Linked DNA regions of Styela clava. The protein of the gene in region 1 interacts with the protein of each later gene in a pairwise test. Links are inferred from orthologs where the notes say so. Each region holds a gene or a part of one and is shown in the gene's direction. Other genes may lie near its edges. The genes, in order: centrosomal protein POC5-like, centrin-3-like and uncharacterized protein LOC120336830.

Region 1 (7,852 bases):
TTCACAGGACAACTATAGCAGACGGGGAGATATCAGAAGTCTGGCGACATATCAGTGACAGTGTGATTCCAAGAAATATAATGCAATTGAAAATAGAAATTTGCAATAGAAAAACAACCTATGGAGGCATGCAAAGGCATTTGACCCTCCGGTAGAGTTGTGTATGGCCCCCACATCCTGCAGGGCTTGAGGAAAATAACTAAAAATTCCAAAGCGTAAGATTGCATAAGCGGTCTTATTTGTAAAAAGGCACAAAACACGCCAGACATACTTAAAACAGCTTTGGAAATGAGGATTACGGGTACCTCACTGCACCTGTGTTATATTTGGTTCATCAACTTTTGGTAGTACTATAGAAGAAATTCCGGAAGGGGTATAATCATCATTCATGATAAAATAATGTTATATATTTTTTGAACAACTTCAATCTAGACCAGGGATCTCAAACTCGCGGCCCCAGAGAACTTCCAGTGCGGCCCTCGAACGCTTAACATAGTAATAGTATTTTGGAAGTTTTTTTTTTTATCTAAATGTAATAGATTTTTCAAACCTTCTAAAGTGAAATTGATTATTCACACAGAAAACAATTTACTGAAAGTAGATTTGGAATATTAATTTTTTTTGTCCACATTTTGACCCAATTAAGAATACACATCAAGCTAGCAAAAGAATACTTGAATAAAACACTTGAGTAATTAAATTAAACGCAAAGTACATGAAGAAGGTGGCATTTTCGAAGAAAATGGGAGTTGTAACATTTCTGCTCTTCACAAAATTCTGAAGCACATTGTTTAATTTGTCATATTTCCATCAATACAATCAAAAAACACAATAAGCTCAGCAGTCAATATGACAAATTCGAAGACCAACTTCGAACAGAAAATTTCCATGTGTTTGTATATTAATATAATTATACAACGACTTAGTTACTAAAAATCAATATCAATAATAATTCAAGCAATCCTATGCCACGCAATGTAGTGCGAAATGTCTTGTCGAAAAAATCTGTCATTTGTTTTTTTACTGATCTATACATGAAATGATAAAAGTAACTTTTTTGCATTACTGGAATTAATTAAACATTCGTAAAGATCCAGATAAACCCATGATCATGTGGCCTCGTTAGTTAGAGTTGGTACTATAAAATCATTTCAGACTGGCCTTAGTATGCTGGTGACACAAAAAAGATGCCAAACGCCAGGACAAATGTAATTATTAAAACATTGAGTTTATACTGTAGTATTTTTGTTAATTTTAGGTTCATATATTTAGATTAAGTTATTTTTAGTGTATGTATTATTCTTTCCTTATTCAAAGCTTGTTCAAAAATGATTTTGATGGTTGTACATAGAATTTTACGATTTTTTATAATAAATACTGTAACTTGCAAATGTTGCAATAATAGTGGAATGCAAATATTAATATGTAATTGCATTTGAAATTGAAGAAAATAATAAAACTTAATCCAACTGTTTAGTTGCATCACAATATATGTCACAAACTAAAACTATCTTCAAAATATCTTTTGAGTATACATTATCAAAAACTGTTTGCGGCTCTTTTTACAATTTTCAAAATGCAATGCGGCTCTCGAAAACCCATGAGTTTGACACCACTGATCTATTCTAGACGATTCAAGCATTGCTTTGGGAAATTATATCACTTCAATTAAATTGAAATAATCTCGCTATATTAAATACAAAATCGTTGCTATCATAAAGGTAAACCAATTCAGCCACTCGAAATATATTGGCCTTCACAAAGCAATGGAGGCAAAATTGAGAGTTCATGAGCTATGAACATTTGTTCTTTTCTTTGTCTTGAACTTTCCATACTCCACAGCCCCTATTAATTTTTATTAATTTTAATTACCATGTGATGGTCATACATATCTTTAACTTGTATTTTCTGTCATGATGTATTATCTCAATGTGCCAAACTATTAATTAGTGTGCATATTTTGCTTCCAGATGACATAAATGTATTGTCATGTTTATTACCTCAGCTTGGAGTATTGACAAGAAAAAGGTGCCAGCAAATTAGGTAAAAAAATTTTCAACTCATTGTTATAATCAGAATTCACAATCAATAGGAATTATAAACAGCCAACAATCAGTGAGAATTATATGCGAAATCCCTCAGAATAAATTTGTCTAAAATCGGAGGAAGGCAAAAAATATAGGTAGTTTCCATCCACACAAGCATTTCAAGAAGACTTGCTCGAGCCAAACTAAATGAGCATCGTCAGGTGATCGGTAAGGCTGCAAGTTGAATTCAGCCCTGCAACCTCCTGCATAGAAGATAATATTAATTAGTGGGCTATGAGCTAAATTCCTAAATTTAAACAAACCTATCTACGATGCATTATGTACCAGCAATGTTACCTACGATTAACTGAATATGTAATATGTCTAATAAATTCACCTACAAAAGCAAGTTCGATAGGTGCAAACTTTGTGTTATGGAATTGTATCGCAGCACAGTTTTGTATGACACCCTCTTTAAATGAAATTTCAATGATTAAGCGCAAACATCAAAATTACTAACTTTGAACTTTGTCATTATCTGCAAAATGTTCCACACAAATCTTTCCGCTATCGCGTTTGTAATCTTCTCTAATAAAAAAAAAGTCTATGATGTCCAGAATTGCTCTTTACAGCTTGCCTGTTATTCCAGCTTTCCAAGTAAGCAAAACTTCTTAGATATAGAGATTATTTTGTTTCGTTACAGACGCAAAAAGGCAGGTACTACACGTAAAAAAGACGCCGAGTAGCAAAAGCGAGCGGAAAACGGACGCGAAAGGCGACAAGAAATATGTGCATTGGAGCGTATCATGAAATACAATGTTTTGCCTGTAGTCTTATGGAGTGACGTCAGAGTTGCCTATCATGTTGTTTAATGTCATTGATCTGAGCAACAGTGTGATTCTGTGGGTGGATATATTAATTTACGTTCACGCAATGGATATAGTTGGGTACAACCTATATAAAGACCTATTATTTTATTCGTTAAACGTTAGCTCTAACAAAAGCTTTAGACAAGCAGAAACTGACATATTAATTTACGTTTGATGTCCTGCGATATACCAAATATTGTGCCACACTTTAACAATAAATAGGATTTCTACGTTTTCACTTTAAGTAAGGCTTTAGACAAGCAGAAATAGACATATCATTTACATTCACATGGCTGTAGTTTCGCATCACAATAACTTCTGGTGGGTGTGGGTAAGAATTTTTGCATATATCGTTCCTGACAACGTCATTCAAAAATTACGTGACATATTTTAATCTAGATCTCCATGTGACTACGTTATCCAAGAATGATATCACTGCGACGTTTCAATCGCGCAATAGAGCTGATTAAAATCGGGCAAACAGACAGGTACTCACCGTACGATCCCGCATATGCGTTAACGCCGCAACGCACGATTAAGTTAAACAAACAAGGTTTGAAGGTGCGTCAACGAAATAGTGTGTACGTACGTAAACGGGCCCAAACGCTATCAAATTTCTCTAAATCATGCTGTCACGTTACGGATCGTGCGAAATTTAAATGTAACAAGTAGGGCTGGGCATTTCGAATCGAATCGAATAGTAAATTATTCGAATCGATTCAGAGCTAAATTTCGAATCGTCGCCATCTTGTTTTTATCTTTCCGCTAATGGTCGAGGTGAATTCCCCAATTTTATTTTCATTGGAGTCATATCTTTTCAATGAAATTCTAACATATGACTATTTTCTGTAGTGAGTTATTGATAAAACGTGTTTGTTATTCTGTGTGAGCGCTTAGTAATCTATCTGGGTGATTTATTCTATGTCTTCGGTAATTCATTTGTTGAGAGGACCAATTACTATAATAAAATCGCTTACAATTATATATTTTCAAGTATTCGAGATTCGATTCGATTCGAAAAATATTATTCGATTCGATTCTGAAATCACAAGGTATTCGAAAATGCCCAGCCCTAGTAACAAGGCAGTTGCTATGGCTCTCGAACTTTGCCGTTATGACGTCATAACTAAGCGAAGCACTCGGCCGTTCAGGGTTTTAAATGAACTGGGATCTCTAGCCAAGTTTAGTTTGCGCATAAATAGAAGGTAGAACTCACAAAATAAATCGGCAGGCCATGACTGCCTCGCATTTAGCAATTGAGATATAATATTGAAATATATTCAGGTACCGGCAGGAGGCCTGACACGGACCGCGGCTCAATGGAATTCGCTTCTTGTGTACAATGTCGTCAATAAAAATTGCGCACGTACGCGTTAGTTGTGAACGCTGTTGTGTCGGTGGTCTTCTGTGACAGATTGCATACCTTTACCACTCCGTTTTGGCTTTCGTGTCTACATATTTGAGCATCGCTCTCTTGTTTTTTCATTAGGTAACGAATTCCCTCAAAAGATTAATCGACAAATGTCATCGGATCCAACAGTTTAGATTTACGTTGGCAAATGCTTTTCCAAATATAGCTGGATAGTCAAAAATGTTCACGCTCAATTTTTAAAATCGGTAAAAGTTGCTACGCATTTTTACATAAGTATGAATATTTTCATCATTCTGTAGTAGTTCCTACGACGTTGCATAAATTTGCAATAACTTTGTACTATTTATAGACAAATATAAATCCACCCACAATTTTAACAAGTTTACCAGCTACAGCAAGGCTGGAAAGAACTAACACGGTCAAACAACCAGTAAATCCGCGGAGATGTGGAACTTCTACTCCGCTACCCATAAAAGGTAGCATAAAAAAGATAATGATACCAAACGACCCAACAGCTGTTACAACTCGGACATGACGTATTAATGAAGATAAAAATACTGATCCAAGCCATATAATACTCTGATCCGTGATAAAAAAAAATCTAATTTTTGCCAATTGTATTTGCTCATCGGCCTTTATACTGGAGTCGAAAAATCGTTTTATTTATCATTCTACAAAAATTGACTCTATGCACCACAAGTTAAACCGGTAGTCACTGAAGCGAGACCCCGGGTCCGTTGTTTATATTTTTCAAAGTTATTGGTTTTCGATTTTATAGAGTGAAGTACAGGTATTTATTTTTGGAACAAGATTATGTCAAGTACAAGCGAAGATAGCGGAGATTTACCGCGCCTACCGTCGGAAACGTCAAGAGGAAGTTCAGTATCTTCTGGCTTGCAGGTGAAAAATAATTGTGTAAAAAAATCTTGGGGATCGGGTGCCAAATTGCGATGCACATAAATTTAAAAATTCAACGTATTCTGGAACCTAATTTCCAATTAAAGTCATTGTAAAATAATATTGTTCTGATATTATACTTTGTTTAACACTACAGCAATATACATAAAACTCTTACTCTCAAAAAGAAGCAGCACTGAATTAAGGAGGCGCAGTTCTTACCACTTCATGGCAGCTCCTGCCACGCACGAACCGCGGCAGCTCTTGCCATGGTTTTATAGCGCTATTCAGTAATCAGTATTAACAGTATATTCACAAATTAACGTACCAGATTTTAATTGATCGTGCGGAATTATATCTACTTAAACCCTAACCCCAAATACTTAGAAAACCGTAACCATAGCTGCATAAGAAAAACGTCCCAACTTACCCAATATTTGTCACCATAAGGGTCAGCCCTGTCTTTACGGCTCACCTGCGGCAGTTACGGCAGCAAAATTTTACCTGCCATTGGTTTTCAATTTGCTGCCGCAGTAACGGCAGCTTGACATTGGTTTGTGGCAGCTAAAAAGTCAGTCGCCATAGGTTTGGTCGTAGCGGCCATGGTATGGAAATACCGCCATGTTTTTGCGGCAGCTGCTGACGCCACAGAGTACTTGAAACTGCACTTGGAATTAAGGGTGCTGGCTGCATTTAGGATTGGAGATTTTAAAATTTTCACATTGGGCATAAGGACAGGGTCATATGGCACTCCATTGTGCAGACTGTATGGCAGACGAGGCATATTGATTAATTGATGAGCCAGAGAATTTGAAATAAATAAATAAAATGAGGCTAATGAGATGATAAATAATTGATTGAAAAAATATTTTGCTCTACTGACTTCATCTTTTTTTCTTGCTCCAGGAGGAATACCAAGAGCTTCTGAAATACGCCATTGTCACACCGAAGTGGGATCCTACATTTGCACAGACTGAACAACCGTCCGTTTTGCCTCAACTAAGATTGAATGAACCGGACCATCGACCATTAACAACTATTGATGAATATTCAGGTGATGAATATAATTTTCCATACAACAATCTCATGCCTAACACGACCCTATACAGGGAATACTGATATGTAAATAAATACATCTTAAAGTAAAAACAGGCTTACTAATCCCATACATGGACTGGTAAGCGGATGAGAGGCCGGGGTCTGCCACACTCTGCATGGGTTCGCAGGTCGAATCCCATGCGGGGTGGTTATGTGCGAGAGGATTGCTGGACTCCTCGCCGCCGTTGGGTGGTTCACGTAACCGCTGGTCGGTTACGGCTTCCTCCACCATCAAGTCCATGCTTCGGAAAAACAAACACCTAACTAATCCCATACCCGACATGGAATGGTAACCGGACGAGAGGCCGTGGTTCGCCATATGGTTTAGCCATCAAATCGGCTTTCCTCTCCCCCGGGATAAATATGTAAATCTTATCTTATCCTTTAATGATTAGGTTGTCGTATTGCCTTGATGAATGTAATCTGTTTTGACAACGTTTTCATTCCGAACACGAATGTATATAAGGAACCATTGACATGCAGTAGGTCACAGTTCTCCAAATCCAAGATATCCGTAGTTTTGGTCAAATGAAACAATCGTTTTTTTTTTGCCGTACTGTTATGTAAAAAACTACATGCATGAGAAGAAAGAAAGTCCATGTATCTGAAACAAAAAACTGGCAACTAATCCCATATTCGAAATGGACTAGTAACCGGACTAGACGCTGTGTTTTGCCATATGATTAAGCCATCTTATAGATTTACCTCCCCCTCAGAATAAATATGTAAATTCTATCCTTCTATATATTTTTTACACCCGAACTCTCTCCAATTGAACATTGGCTATTCAATTTATAGTAATATGCAAAATTTTTAAATTCAATTTAGATTAGCTTGAAGATTGCTGATTTCAAAAGGTCAATTTTCGGGTCTAGTATAGTTTAGTACCATAAGTACTTCTAGTGGGCGTATCATAACCATTTTTGCCCACGTCATTCATACCCCAACCTTCACAATCACCTCATAGAGCTTGCCGAAGTGTAGCAGCGATTGCCAGTAATGACATCTTGTGCCAAAAAAATGAACTCACTAACCCCAGCGACCTTTCATATATCGGGATCGTTGCAGCAAAAAAACAAAATAGAGCAGTATACACTGTAGCTTGCTTGAATGCAGGTTATTGTCCGCATGTTCGGGACAACGTTCCGTATATTTTGGTGGGTCTTATCTTATTACCTCACTGTGATGTCGTAGTGACATTATTTTTAGATGGCGTAGTCAGATGGGTTAGGAAAGACAAGTTATACTAGACCTAATATTTGTCGGGGGGCAGTTACAATTGACCCAGATGTTGGGTAGAGAAAAATTTGACTTGTCTCTGGGTTAAAAGTTTCTATCTCATCACTGATGATATATACTTGTTTATAGCTGGAAGCACATCACGCACAGAGGAAGATAGCGCAGTTGGGAGTGAGGAACCTGAAACTGCTAGAAAACAAATGGAGCCAACTTGGCAGATGAATAACCCAGGTATGTATGTATATATCAGAGTGGCGGCTCTTCAGAAGTATGTGTACCAATATGGAGTTTACTAATTTGTTCGCCCACTTTACATCAAGTTGTGTAAAGGGACTGAAAGCTATGTACAG
Region 2 (6,705 bases), on another chromosome or scaffold:
TGTAAATTTTTTATTTTACTACTAAGTGAATTTTTTTTGTGTAGGTATTTCAAAGCTTAGAGATACACGAAAGTATTTGTCATTACTTCAAAAATAAGTCATTTGAACAAGCGGGAAACAATTTCGCGCACATAATAAACAAACAAAGATTCCAGACAACTATCGTGGACATGCTCTCACATAACATTGATTATTTCGCGTTTCGCTTCGCTTGCGAAGCTGAGTCTGGTTTTTCTGCAAAGGTGACGTAACTCTCTTTCAGAAGAGCGCTTGGAATTTCGTTTCTTTGTAACACGTGTTCATCGAAGCGATAAGAGTGTGAAACGTTCTCTCAAAATTTTTTGAAATTTCTCTCTTCTTACACGCGTAGGGTCGAACGGTTTCGCCTACGTCATTTGGGCGCGTTTTAGTAGGAAGACGCGAAAATAAGCTTTTTAAAGAGATATTGGGGGTGTTCCTTGTACGTTTGGTTAACTGGTCATTACATATTATAAAATGGTACATAAAGTCGATTGTATACAGCGGAAAAAAAGGGTTAAAGAAAATAGCGTTGAGGAAGGAACGATTAGGTAGTCAAGATGCCCCCCAATCTAAAGTCAGGAGATGGGATTCAAATTTGTTGAATAAAAGTCGAGAGTCGTTTTTCAATGATTGGCAATACTATATAGAATTCATACCTGCATGTCTTTCTCCCTTTGTTTTGCAAACATTTTGAAAGAGTTGACAATAACACCAGAATTTGAACAATCATAGACAAATATTGATGGCGTTCCCATCCATGTTTGAAGATCATAAATTGATAGCGGAATATATTGAGTATATGTCTAAAAATAATATACAATTATTAATTAATTCTTTTTGCTATGATAATGCTAAACATGTATTAGGAAAAAGAAGTACCTTGTTGAATACCCAAATTTCACCATTAACAGTTGGCTTCGGAACGCCATGGCCATTATAATGAAATAAAACTCTTTCTTCTTTAGAATTTCTTCGCAATGAAGTACATAATCTTTTGACATCTTCAACTGTCGGATCTAGAGTTTGTTTGTAACGAGCCTACAAAATAATAAATACATAACTGTTTTGTAATATACTAAGTGAATGAATATATATTGTCTTACCATAGGTGACTTATAATTTTTATGTTACAATCTGGTCAGCGAAATATATATCAATACATTAAAACTCTATACAAAATGATAAGACAGGGGGGTGTATTAAAACAGTAATTCTTAAACTTTCACAATCCATGGCCCCCTGCATCTCTATAAAAATACCAAATTTTGAAGTTACATTTTGATCAGTTATTTTATGTTCCATGTTTAATATTAAAAAATTCAACAAAAGAAAGTAAATGCATTATAGTAAAATCACAGTCAATCTATTTAGGCCCTGCTTGTGGCCCGAGAGAACCACTCGTTGGGGGGCCGAGAGCCCTATTTGAGAAACCCTGTAGTAAAATGAATGCAGATACAGAGACTAAAATACTAACAGAATGTCAACTATCCTATTAATAGAGTTCCTGGGTCTGTCTGAATGGCAAGTAAATCTCATCCAACACTGATCATTGATCTCAGTCTGAGATTTGGTCAACCTATTTATTAATATTTTAAGTTTTCAAAGTATAATATTCAAACATCATACTCTTGATTGCCATCTTTCATACTGCTTTTGCAAATTATTTCCGATTGCTTCCAATGCTTTTTGAGGTGTGTAGTTAGATGGATCTATAATAAAAGAAACAAATTATATATAATTCAAGTCCTTTATTACAATAAACAAAGTATTTTAATTAAACAAACCTATCCAACATTCTTGTCTGGCACAAGGTGTTGTTTTCACAACATCTGGAGGATCGACACCAACATTTAAACATAGAACAAGTGCAACGCTGACAGTCTTCATCTAAAAATATAAAATGTGCTACTATTGAATATAGTACTGAGATAAAATCACCAATCAATCCCTTGCTAAAAAAATGCATGCCCATATTATACAATGATTGCAATAGAGCAGTGTTTCCCAACCTTTGATGGCTCGTGGCCCCCTTCCGAAAGCTTTCAGCACTCATGGCCCCCTGTTTATCATTCCAGTGGTATTTATAGTGTTACTTTGATGGGTAGATTCCAAATCCCATTATGTTCAAACAATTCATGTTCAACAAAATGAATCTACCATGTGAAATAACATTTCCAAGCAATGAAACTAGGAACAACAGGAAGTTTTCTTGTCAAGGGAAAAGTAAAATCAGTTTTGCGCCCTGCTCTGTGGCCAATTTACAGGGCCATGGGCCCCCGGCCGAGAACCGCTGTATTAGAGTGTTTATACTTGTAATGAAAAATGTGTACTGTTTTATTTGAAATTTTTATTTATATGTTTATAATGTGAATAATAATAACTCAGTTATTGTTAAAGGAATTAGTTGAAAGAACATTAATACATAGCAAATTAATATTTATATTTAAAGTAATAGTTGCATTTAATAGAATTTCTATAAAACCAATTCTCAACTATTCAAATAATAATATTATTCCAGTAACATCACAATTGAGTGAATATCTTCCATACTAAGTAAATATTCCGCTGAAGGGTTTTATATAAGAAAACACAAATTTTGATACAATGCTTAATTTAATTTGAATATACATTTCAACATTCGATCTACATGAATAGATATGCATACATGTTTCACAAAAATGCAACATTGGATGAAATAATACAATTATCATTAAATAATAATGAACAAAATTGACAGTTATAATATACAACAGAAACACCTACAAAACATCATATAATAAAACGCACCTCTATCAACAAAATTAAACAATTACCCTTTCTTTCATTCTCCATGTTTGTGTGACTGGCTTTGAACTTGTGATGCTTTCCAAGTGTCTTTTTTGTTGAAATGCCAGAGGTAAATTCCATCCTGCTTCCATCATATTATGAAGAATCTCAGCATCCTCATCTACAGTCTCCCCCTCTTTTTCTTCATCCTTTTCAATCCCTCGACCCAACATAGTCTTCAACCAAGCTGATCAATTTACTATAAAACTCTAGTAAAGGAATGGAAGAATGTAGACATTCGGTATAACAATTTTGGCTTCAGCCCTACAAAAGCTGCAAAGCCACAGCTGCACAGATACAAAAAAGGAGAGGTCTGCAAAATAATCAATCTTAACTTCTAAATCTGTATTTTGAATTCTGTAATATCAGTTTCATTGCAAGTTTTGGTCGATAGCATATGTGTAATTATTGAATGGATAGGATTTTCATATGAATCGCTGGGATCTGAATAGAAATCCAAGACTGCAATGATATTAATCACATATCATCATAATCGTACGTAATTTTGTAAAAGAACGACATCCATATTGAGACAAATTAGATTTGACAATACTTGTGATTTTATAGCTTTACTAATGACTTTATACGCCGAGAATATGAGAATGTCACAACACATCTGACATCTTTATGTTTATTTATTATACAGACGCTGTTAAACAGTGAGACAAATTAACATACACACATACAATGAACGCCGCACCATGGTTAACTGAATATAGTTAGCATGGTTAACTGAATATCATGACAAAGCTTTCACGAATATTTTTGCTCAATGCTGCCACCTTGTGAATTTGAACACCGCCACTAACCGTCAGTTTTGACTTGATTGTGTTTTTGTTTTGTCGGTTCCGTTTGAACTTTTATAATACTTTGCAATTCTAGCGCTGAGTTTGGAATAGAAAAGGTATGTAGACTATATGTAATTATTATTGATTCTCACAACAATATTGATATTGCATTTGTTGAATACAGCATTGGACGACAACTTCTGCTGTTCTGGGATTAGACTTTCCTGGCCATACATGCTTGCATAGCTTTTGTCCTTGTATAGAGTACCGGTACCGTAATCCTATTAGATTTTTTAGAAAACATAATACATGTACGGTAGTACAAATATAAAAGAAGGAAAACATGAAACTACTGTAATTCTATGGCTAGTGATAGTTTATTTTTTCTGCATGAATATTTCCCGTACCTTAAAGCGATTTCCCGTCATTCCCGCTTTTTGTGAAATTTCCCGCTTTTTAGTGAAATTTCCCGTAGTTCCCGCATTTTAGTTTTTGCAATTTCCCGTCGTTCCCGCAGTTCCCGCATTTTAGTGCATTTCCCGTTTCCCGCATTTTAGGGTTGCCCCAGGATTAGTTCATGTAAAAATATTCACAACAATAGGCTGACAAACTATATGAAAACTTTCAATCACAAGTTAATGTGAGATATATTACCAATATAAACAAAGTCACGAATAAGAAATCTCGCAGGAAATGATTTGTGTGTATTATGTCTGTATGTGGAAAAGAACATGAACTTCTGAGTCATCTATTTATGAACTGCAGAACTGTTTATATTTTGATTCATTGAAAATACTGTTAAAAAATTTAAAAAAATATTTAATGCTAGACTTTTGTGCCATTTTAATGCCAATATTGTGTTTTATTAGACTTTTGAGTTTTTTACTACTAGAAGACATTTGATTAGCCTATTATTGTGTTTTAAGTTACCATTAGTAGATATAAAATATGGTTACAAAAAAATGTATTATATGTCAAGGCAGTACTCGTATTTACCATATATAGTAATTAAACAAATAAAAACAGCAATCACTTATCTCTGTTTTATCCAATGCTGCCTGTTCTGAATTTATGTTCCTGACAAAAAAAATCTAATCATTTTTTTTTCTTCATAATTGCCTTTTATAGAATTAATATTAAAAAAATAATTTCAAGATGAGTTTGTCTCTACGTGGAGATTTTGGACTGGAAAAATCCAAACGAAAAAAGCGGAGGGAGATTTCAGAGGAACAGAAACAAGAAATTAAAGAGGCTTTCGAATTATTTGACACAGACAAGGATAAATTTATAGATTATCACGAACTCAAGGTCGCAATGAGAGCATTAGGGTTTGAAGTAAAAAAAGCTGACGTCTTGAAAATTTTGCGAGAAAATGACAGAGAAGAAACTGGAAAAATCAGTTTTGATGATTACAATGATGTCATGACAGACTTAATTCTTGAAAGAGATCCCCAGGAAGAGTTGACAAAAGCTTTTAAACTCTTTGACGATGATGACAGTGGTAAAATATCATTAAGAAATCTACGTAGAGTTGCTAGAGAACTTGGTGAAAATATGACAGATGATGAATTGAGAGCCATGATTGATGAATTTGATACTGATGGTGACGGCGAAATTAACCTGGAAGATTTTATTGCGATTATGACTGGTGATACGTGAAACAATTCAAGCTTTAAAACTATCAAAATATTGAGTACAAACATATCTTCCTTTGGAGAAAAAATTTATTTGGAAAAGTTCTAGAATAGCATCTGATTAAAAATGTATATATGTAGTTGTTTTGGGGATTTTGGTTGGAATTATCTGACTATATAGCACGGGGGAATATCTTCTTAATTTTGAACAGAGACTTTGGACCATAAAAAATATTGATAATTCTCTAAATATTAGTTGAGATATTTGCTCCGAAGTATATGTTAAAACTCCATCATCATTTGCACTATGCTTTGCATACAATCCACCCTTTTCATCAGTATACTTTTTATATCATTATTATAAATTCACTTTGCAATAGTATCTATTTTTGAGCGGAACAAAATTCATTGGCAAGGAAATATTCAATCCTAATTCATTCAGTACATTTTATAATCCAGGTAGAAGGCTGTAAGTAGCATATTTTTTTTAAATATTTTTGCGACAGCAATTTACACAATGTTTCTTCACACAACTTTATTATGTATAGTTTTCTATGTTGTTTTATTAACTGATACAAATCATCTTCACAGGAGAAGACCGGATATATAAAATAAGTAGGTACTTCTCGGGCATTGTCTCATTCAAAACCAATATATTTCAGCATTTGTGACAATCCTCATTAATACATTTATATAATCTATTACTCTATTGCTGCTTATTTTTTGTTGCCCCAGCTAATTTTACAAAGCTTGTTGTTTTGTTGTCAATTTTTCATTTTTTTGTGTAATTTAGGGAGATGAAAAGATGGTTGATTCAGTCATTTTTGATATATTTGTTTGCATATTAGTACTTGAATATACGTCTGTGAATAAAATTATTTTTGAAATTGGTGCATCACTCTTAAGGCTAAGCTGTAAATAAGCACCAATCGAAGCTGTCACAAATGTTGTTCGCCCTGGTCGACTTATCGAAAGCAGTCATCGGGCGACGGGTGTCCCCAACCAATCTAGACACTTATCAAATTAATTCTTTTAAATTAATTAATCAAATATCGAATCAAATATATGAGTCCAAACTGAATATGTACCGTTATCACTATTTTCGTCGATACCAACAAAACGCCGATATTTCAGATTGCCGATAATATTAGGCTTACCATACGTCCCGGTTTTGACGAGCTGTCCCGGCCGGTTGACTCAAATGTCCCGGTTTGTCAGCACGGCTGTCATGGGTGAAAAATTCATATTCCTTATTGTTACAATTTTTTTTAACGGTGGCAGCCCATTTACCACTGTTTTGCGACACACTTCGCTAGTTCAGAGAGTAAAAAATGCTCTATTGTTATGTCACAATCGGTATATGTTTTAATGCGTTTTCTGGCGTTAACTACAATGCCGTTAAGTTGTCGAAATGCCATAAAAGAAGTACAAATTTT
Region 3 (7,221 bases), on another chromosome or scaffold:
AAAGCTTTGTCTTATTTTCTTCTGTTTTGCAAGACCTTCGCGACCCCCCTAGAAACCCGCCGCGACCCCCAGGTTGAGAACCACTGGGCCTTAGAGGATTTCTATGTTGGCTTGAACAGGGTGGGTGGGAGGCTTGGACCTTCCGGCCTCCAAAGAGACAACAAACTTGACTAGGTGCTATTCCCAATGACTGCATTAATTTGCAGGCTTAGAACTTGTTTGTGCCATTCTCAACGTTTGAATTTATTATAATTAGGACGTTTATTCAAAAACTATTGATTATCAGAATTAGACTCGTGTTAAACAATTTCCCCTTACGATGGAATCGATTACAATGGATTTTTAACTGTTTTTTGCAGCCCATGGACGAGGAAAGTCTTTGCACTATTTGTTATGCTAATGAGATTTCAGTTTCTTTCAATCCCTGTGGTCATACTTCATGCAAGTAAGTATATGTTATATTGCAATACAATTTAATTATATGAGGTAATTATGTATATAGGAGCTTATGTATGCCTTATATGCGAAAAACGGGTAAAGGTTTTTTTCTACCCCCGCGGGAAAAATGCCGTCTTCCGTCTCGATAGTCCATAAACTGAGGAAGATTAGTGAACTTGTTTCAATCATTCGCGCAAAGATAACTACGAGTTGCACAGCACTCAAAATGAACTGGCACTTTTGGTACAATTTTTTGTGCAAAACATTGCTGGTGGATTGATTACCCTGCATTGACGGAGATCATACTGGGCGCCTGTACCGGTTTGTTTAATTATAATTATAATTACATCTTTATTCCAGGTCCTGCATCAGCCACCAACTAATGAACGCCAAGGAATGTTTCTACTGCAAAGCAATAGTTGAAAGTTTCAAGCCAATTGAAAATAAATAAATGTAGTTTGATTTTAAAATATAGAACTTGCGCCTTACTACAACGCCTTATGACGAGGAATATTGAACCAAATTAGTACTATTTACGACTGCTTTATACTCGGATAACACTGGCTCCATTTAAAACATAGAAAACTAGTAAAAAAACATGTATTTTCTTTTTTCTTATCCAAATCACGATAATGAAATTTCTGGTTCTGGTATTTATGACCCATGATGTAATTGTGGTTGTCTCCCACCATGGTATTAGTGTCGACAAATTCTGATTCTCAATACGGAATTGTGAAATTGGGCTCAAAAAAAATGTTAGGCAATTATATAATAGATACAAGTTGGTTACAAATGAGCTTATTCCAATACCACAAATCCGTTTTGCTTAAAAATAGCATAAACTCGATTTTCTCTAGTGATATATTTTTAATAAATATTAATTTTCAATCTTTTTGTGTAATTTCGATTGGGCCTATTTATTTTATATTTCAATGGGTGTGAAGGGAAATTTTTAGTTCATTAGAATTTTGGCGGCTTACGTTAGCATGTTAAGTATCGGTGTGATCATTTCAAAAACTTTGCTCTGGATATCATTTACATTATTTCCATTTTTATATTTCATACCTTTGGGGGGGATAAGACTCTGTCCCCTTATCCAGCGTGCAAAAATTTGATGGGGGATACAACTTGTATTATAGCTCACTCCTGTGTTACTCTAGTCGCGTTAGGTCCTAGTTATGAGGGCATTGAAGTGATGTTTTGTCGACTCCAAAAAATGGCACCTTGTAGCCCTTGAAAGGCACAGGATAATGGAAAATGCTCTTAATCTATCTGTAGCTAATTAAACGGAACCTATTTTCTAATTGAACTTTATTGTTTGCCTATTATGCTAGGCTATGTTCTTATGTCGATTTGATTTTTTTTTTGTAAATTTCGCACTTTGTAAAATGCATTTAATTTGCAGGCAAATTTCAATCTTCAATTCATGTTATTTTGTATTTTAACATGGTTACACCTCTCCAATCTCATGTTCTTTTGATGATCTAAGCCAGTGGTTCCCAACCTTTTTTTCAAGCAACCCAAATTTTTTAAAAAAAAAATTTGTAAACTCTTGCCACCCGAGGATATACTCTCATACTAAACGACGCGTAGTACTTTTATAGTGCTTCGTGGTGGGACCGCGGGGGTTTATTTAAACGAAATAGATGCTGCCAATATTTTACAATGTGATACTTCTCGCATTTACAATTACTACTGAGCTACTCCACAATACTAAATATAAAATAAACAAAACAATTTCCTAAAAAAACAATAATTTCCAAGCTTGCGGAAAAAATAAGGGACCCAAGATGATTTCCAGGCGATCCAGTTTTGGGTCGCGACCTATAAGTTGGTAAACACTGATCTAGACTAACAATGTAGCGCATTTTATTTTAGCTAAATAGATTGAAGAATATTTGACCATTGGTGTAATAAAGATAAGAAGGTCAACCAGAAGTTAATATGAATGAAAACAAGCTTTGAATGAGAGCCGTAGTCACAATTTAGGTCAACTGCTAGAGTTCGCATAAAATGCCTATACTAGTAATTTTTTCACAAGTTTTACACGTAACCATTTGTTATGATATAATATCGTATTCTGTGATTTGCAATCTTTATTTTGTTCATCACAAAATATGCAATTATTTTGTTAAAAAGGTATGTTTTACTCATGAATATTATTAGCCCGAATCTTCTGTACAAAGCATTATTAATAAATTTTCCGGATATCATTGTACACTTGTTATCCATAGTTTCAATCAGAATTGATATACCAGGGTTCCTTGGACTTCATGTACCGCTTCGTTTCAACTGAATTGGAAACGCAAGACCGTGTGAGAGGAAACTGGCGCGTTAAAAATTATCCGTTTCCAGTTATGTTCAAAGTTAGTCCGATTTTGTCTGTCTTATTCAAGACGGACTTGTGGAATTTATGTTCTATTTGGAATTGACTACTATTTTATCTGAACTTACTTAGTGTTGGTGTAAATCAGCTTTATTGTACTGCTGGATGCCGTTGCCCATCAGGCAGTTAAAGACTTCGACGATTGTGCTGATCCTTATCTCATTGTCCTATCATCTTTGCCAATCATTAGCTCATTGAAACACTGATTATTGACAACCTGGAACCACGTTTACTGCTGAGCGATAAACAGTATAGGTTTCTTCAAAAACTTTTCACCACCGATTTGTTTACGATGATAGCCAAATTCGTATGCGCTCATTAGTTCGGCAGTGGGAGGTAACCTATGTTGTAACGAATTCCCGACAGGTTTATTGTCCTCCTTGACCAGTGCTCTTTTACTTCCGGAGGTACACGGTGTTAAATTGTTGGATCTAAAGAGCACTTTATATTCCTCAATGACCTCTAGCGCAGGAATGGAAAAATTGATAATAAAACCGAATCCCTGTTTTCGTACAAGGATTTCGTAGAGTACGATAAATCGCCTCAGTCCGTATATAAGTGCTGCATGTGTTAAGCTCGAAACCATGTCAAAGATACACAATACCAATCAACGATTATAAGACGTGTAGAGAAGATGCGACGGCAAGTTTCTCATTGATGCAGACTTCGATAGAACCCACTATGATATGACCGACAGTCTACTTTTCCACACGAAAAAAAAATTTTTTTTTTGACTCATTCAACAAAGAAGGTTTGTCCGTTCTACTGAGTTGTGACCCGTGAGTGCGTAAATTGCCCGGTATCCCGAAAATGTCGTGTACGACTTGTCCGGAGTGTGAAAATTGGCTTATAGGTGAACCTCATTGAACTATTGTAATTACTATTTGTAAAAATATTTCTTAAATTAAAAATTTGAATCGCCTATCGACACGCCAGTGTTTCAAGAAAGCCGATATTCCGATAATAACTAATTATCATCTTGATTGTAAGGAACAGGCAAGATAAAATACTTGTTTGCAAACAGTATTTACAGTGATCATTGTTTCAGCTTGACGAACAGGTATTCCAGACAGAGCATACGAAATTATTATTTGGGATTCAAATAATGGCGTGTCATTAGAATCGATGCCAACAGTTTGAAGAACTTAAATCAATTGCACAGTAAATTGCTTTGAAACGCTGTACGTATGCACAAAACTTACACTAAAGTAAGACTTTAAATCCAAATAGTGAATCATGTCTCGCCGTCGCAGCAAATTCATAACCAAGGAAGTCGCATATGGGTGTGAATGCGGTAAGAGATTACAACACCAAGTTTGCCATGCTGAACAGATCGGAGTAAAAGTATGACGGATGTGGTCAAGGATAATAGATAACGTTATTAATTTTCAGCGAAATGTCGAGTCCTTTGAGAGGTACCGTAATTTGAAAATGACCTCCTAGCGACATCAGTCGAATTATGGTTATTTGTGACCCTTGAGCTCATTTTAGTGTTTAAATTGACTTATAAGCCAGTGAAAACTAGACCTCCTATTCTTCTTCTTCGCTTGTCTCCGGCAATTGATCGCTTAGTCTCGTTTAATATTTAATCATCTGCGATTACGTATTCACGGAACTACATGAGAAAGTTGATGCTCAGTGAAAAAAATTAATAAACCAACAAATTTGAGAAAATTCGTTGCTATCGATCGTAAGTTCAAAGGTCACAAAATTAAAATCCGTTTCCAACGGTTTTCTTGCGTTTGTTTTGATTTCGTGGGTTGATCGACGTCTGGAAGTTTTTCATATTCAACTTTGTGTTTAGCTGTCAGGCGTCGAGCCAGATTGAATATTGGTGAGTTATTTTGTTTCTAGAAGTTTAATTACTGACCTAATATGTGAAAACTTTTTGTGCAAAGTGTGTAATGTATTTTTCATCATCTCTACATTCTGACATTACGGTATCTGCTTGTCTGTTGACCCCCTGGTTTCATAGATTTGTTTTGTCTGTTATGTTAATTACCACTCTCTATGTTATATTTTAATAAAATATAAATACCTTATGGTACCAGAGCTATGTTTTCTTGCAATCCTGTAATCACTTGTAGGCCTATAATAAGGTTTTTCTGTTATCCTAGTTTACAATGACTGCAGGACTGTTTGGCCCAGTTGTTTACTGACTGTGTAACAGCATCAGTATACTGCCCAACTAGTATAGCAGTGTACAGATGCGGCTTTGTTTATTGAGGTATCCGGGATATCAGTAGATATTGATTGCAATTTTGAATGATAAACGCCACACAGCATACCATAATTCTGTGATTTAAGACAATACAATACAGAATTGATAATAATTAAATAAACCTGGCTTAGTGCAAAGAATTAGAGGTTTGCTACCCATACTTGTTACCCTAGGATAGATTTTTAATGGTCGTCTGAGAGACCAACTGGGCTCCCCATGACACCGCTGGTTGGTAACTGGTTTATTACTGGACGAGATTGTATGGTTCACCAAAAGCAGTAATGGTCGAGCAATTTAATTATGTATCATATTCAATTAATATGTACATTAGCCAACAGCCTTGTTGTTGTCTAGTGTCAGAGTGTGTAAGCATATACTTGCTTTTTAACCAAATTCAATAAACAATCTTTATATAAATAATTGAATAAACACTTTTATTCACAATATTAGGTAAAGAAACAAAATGGCAAGCAGTTACAAAAAGAACATTGGTGGACAGAAGCGTAAAGGTGGTGCAAGAGCTGAACTCACAGAAGAACAAAAACAAGAAATAAGAGAAGCATTTGATCTTTTTGATGCTGATGGTTCAGGAAATATCGATGTCAAAGAATTAAAAGTAGCAATGAGAGCTCTTGGGTTCGAACCAAAGAAAGAAGAAATTAAAAAGATGATTTCAGAGGTAGACAAAGATGGTACAGGAATGATTGATTTCAATGAGTTTTTGCAAATGATGACACAGAAAATGAGTGAAAAAGATTCGAAAGAGGAAATTTTAAAGGCTTTCCGTTTGTTTGATGATGATGAAACTGGTAAAATTTCATTTAAAAACTTGAAACGGGTTGCAAAGGAACTTGGTGAAAATTTGACCGACGAGGAATTACAGGAAATGATTGATGAGGCAGACAGAGATGGTGATGGTGAAATAAATGAGGCCGAATTTCTTCGAATAATGAAGAAGACAAGTTTATATTGATGTAATATAATTTTTAACTTCTCAATATCCATAAAATCTGCTGCCTATCATTACAGGTCGATTGTAGATGATAGGCCAGTGACACGGTCTTGTTCATTTTCATCATTACCTGTACCTGTGAAATTCAAGACATCATTTTTTGTTGAATAGTTCCATAAATTAGTTAAATACATTTAAACTGATGGCATATCAGTAAGGTGCTATATTTAGGTTCCAAATTTCATTCCTATTACCTCTGAATATTGTATTCTCGAAATTATCACAACTGAAGGGCCCTATTAAAGTATGATAAATGGCCTATCTGATTTTCTGGAATAAATTTGTTTAAATACCCTAAATTTTAAGACCATATTTAACTACAACAAAATGCCCTATCACAAAATGGCTGCTTTATTAATCTCTTTTTTAGTAAAGTTGTGGGTGGTTTACATTAGTTTCACCATGCTGTGTGTCATTTCTTCCTCTGGAAGAGACTTCACTCCTGTAATATTTTTGTTTGTGGACCAATTGTTATTTTTTTACTTTGCATCATTCTTCTTCCTGTTTGTGATTTTATGAGTGTGTTTGATACAACATATATTGTTTGTAAAAATGGTTTTGTTAGAATATTTCGCACATCTGCTGTTTTCTTTATTGGGTGACTGTCAGCCCAAGCATGTATTCAAAGTTGAAGCTAGGATTTGGTATGCTTGTTGTTTTATGCAGAATTTAGGCAAAATTTGAAGACATGATGTCAATGGATGGTTTTGACGTGGATATTACACCCACACCCATATCCGATCTACCCAACTCCAATAGGTATCTTTTTTTCCACACTACAGTATATTTAATTGGTATTTGCTACTATTGGTAGCAGATATCTGAAATGGAGATATGAAGAATTGAAACATGCTTACCGCTAAAACTAGAATAGATGATAAGCAATTGTGACTATCTATGTTTAAAGGTTCGGTGTAAAAACCTAATCAATTGGCAGACCATAGCCTCTCAAGGAGCTTTTAGCTCATGTTGGGTAAGTGAACAGTTTTCTGGCGTATTGATGACATGCCACCAAAGGTTACGCGAAAAGCCATTCATTATCTCACACAGTATCACAACTAGGGCTGGGCGGAGTATTCGAATAGCGAATCGAATATTAGATTATTCGAATGGCATTTTACTATTCGAATATCCGGTACCACGTGACCTGCGACACTTTGCTTG

What was found.
Region 2: the proteins of centrosomal protein POC5-like (region 1) and centrin-3-like interact in binary tests that used the Homo sapiens proteins (3 or more experiments, as listed by UniProt). The link is inferred for Styela clava from reciprocal best matches to the Homo sapiens genes POC5 and CETN3.
Region 3: the proteins of centrosomal protein POC5-like (region 1) and uncharacterized protein LOC120336830 interact in binary tests that used the Homo sapiens proteins (3 or more experiments, as listed by UniProt). The link is inferred for Styela clava from reciprocal best matches to the Homo sapiens genes POC5 and CETN1.

The regions. Positions count from the first base shown.
Region 1 is NC_135261.1:1,715,350-1,723,201, forward strand, and holds the start of centrosomal protein POC5-like, read left to right. Parts: upstream 1-4,840; 5' UTR 4,841-5,081; coding exon 5,082-5,168; intron 5,169-6,071; coding exon 6,072-6,219; intron 6,220-7,631; coding exon 7,632-7,733; intron 7,734-7,852. UniProt on the Homo sapiens protein: Essential for the assembly of the distal half of centrioles, required for centriole elongation. Acts as a negative regulator of centriole elongation.
Region 2 is NC_135263.1:8,826,970-8,833,674, reverse strand, and holds centrin-3-like, read left to right. Parts: upstream 1-4,731; 5' UTR 4,732-4,790; coding exon 4,791-5,294; 3' UTR 5,295-6,156; downstream 6,157-6,705. Other genes in the region: regulatory-associated protein of mTOR-like, read right to left, coding at 678-824, 901-1,059, 1,648-1,730, 1,806-1,908, 2,835-3,020. UniProt on the Homo sapiens protein: Plays a fundamental role in microtubule-organizing center structure and function. As a component of the TREX-2 complex, involved in the export of mRNAs to the cytoplasm through the nuclear pores.
Region 3 is NC_135251.1:24,741,386-24,748,606, forward strand, and holds uncharacterized protein LOC120336830, read left to right. Parts: upstream 1-4,233; 5' UTR 4,234-4,658; intron 4,659-5,495; 5' UTR 5,496-5,508; coding exon 5,509-6,018; 3' UTR 6,019-6,702; downstream 6,703-7,221. Other genes in the region: E3 ubiquitin-protein ligase RNF123-like, read left to right, coding at 360-445, 799-889. UniProt on the Homo sapiens protein: Plays a fundamental role in microtubule-organizing center structure and function. Plays a role in sperm cilia formation.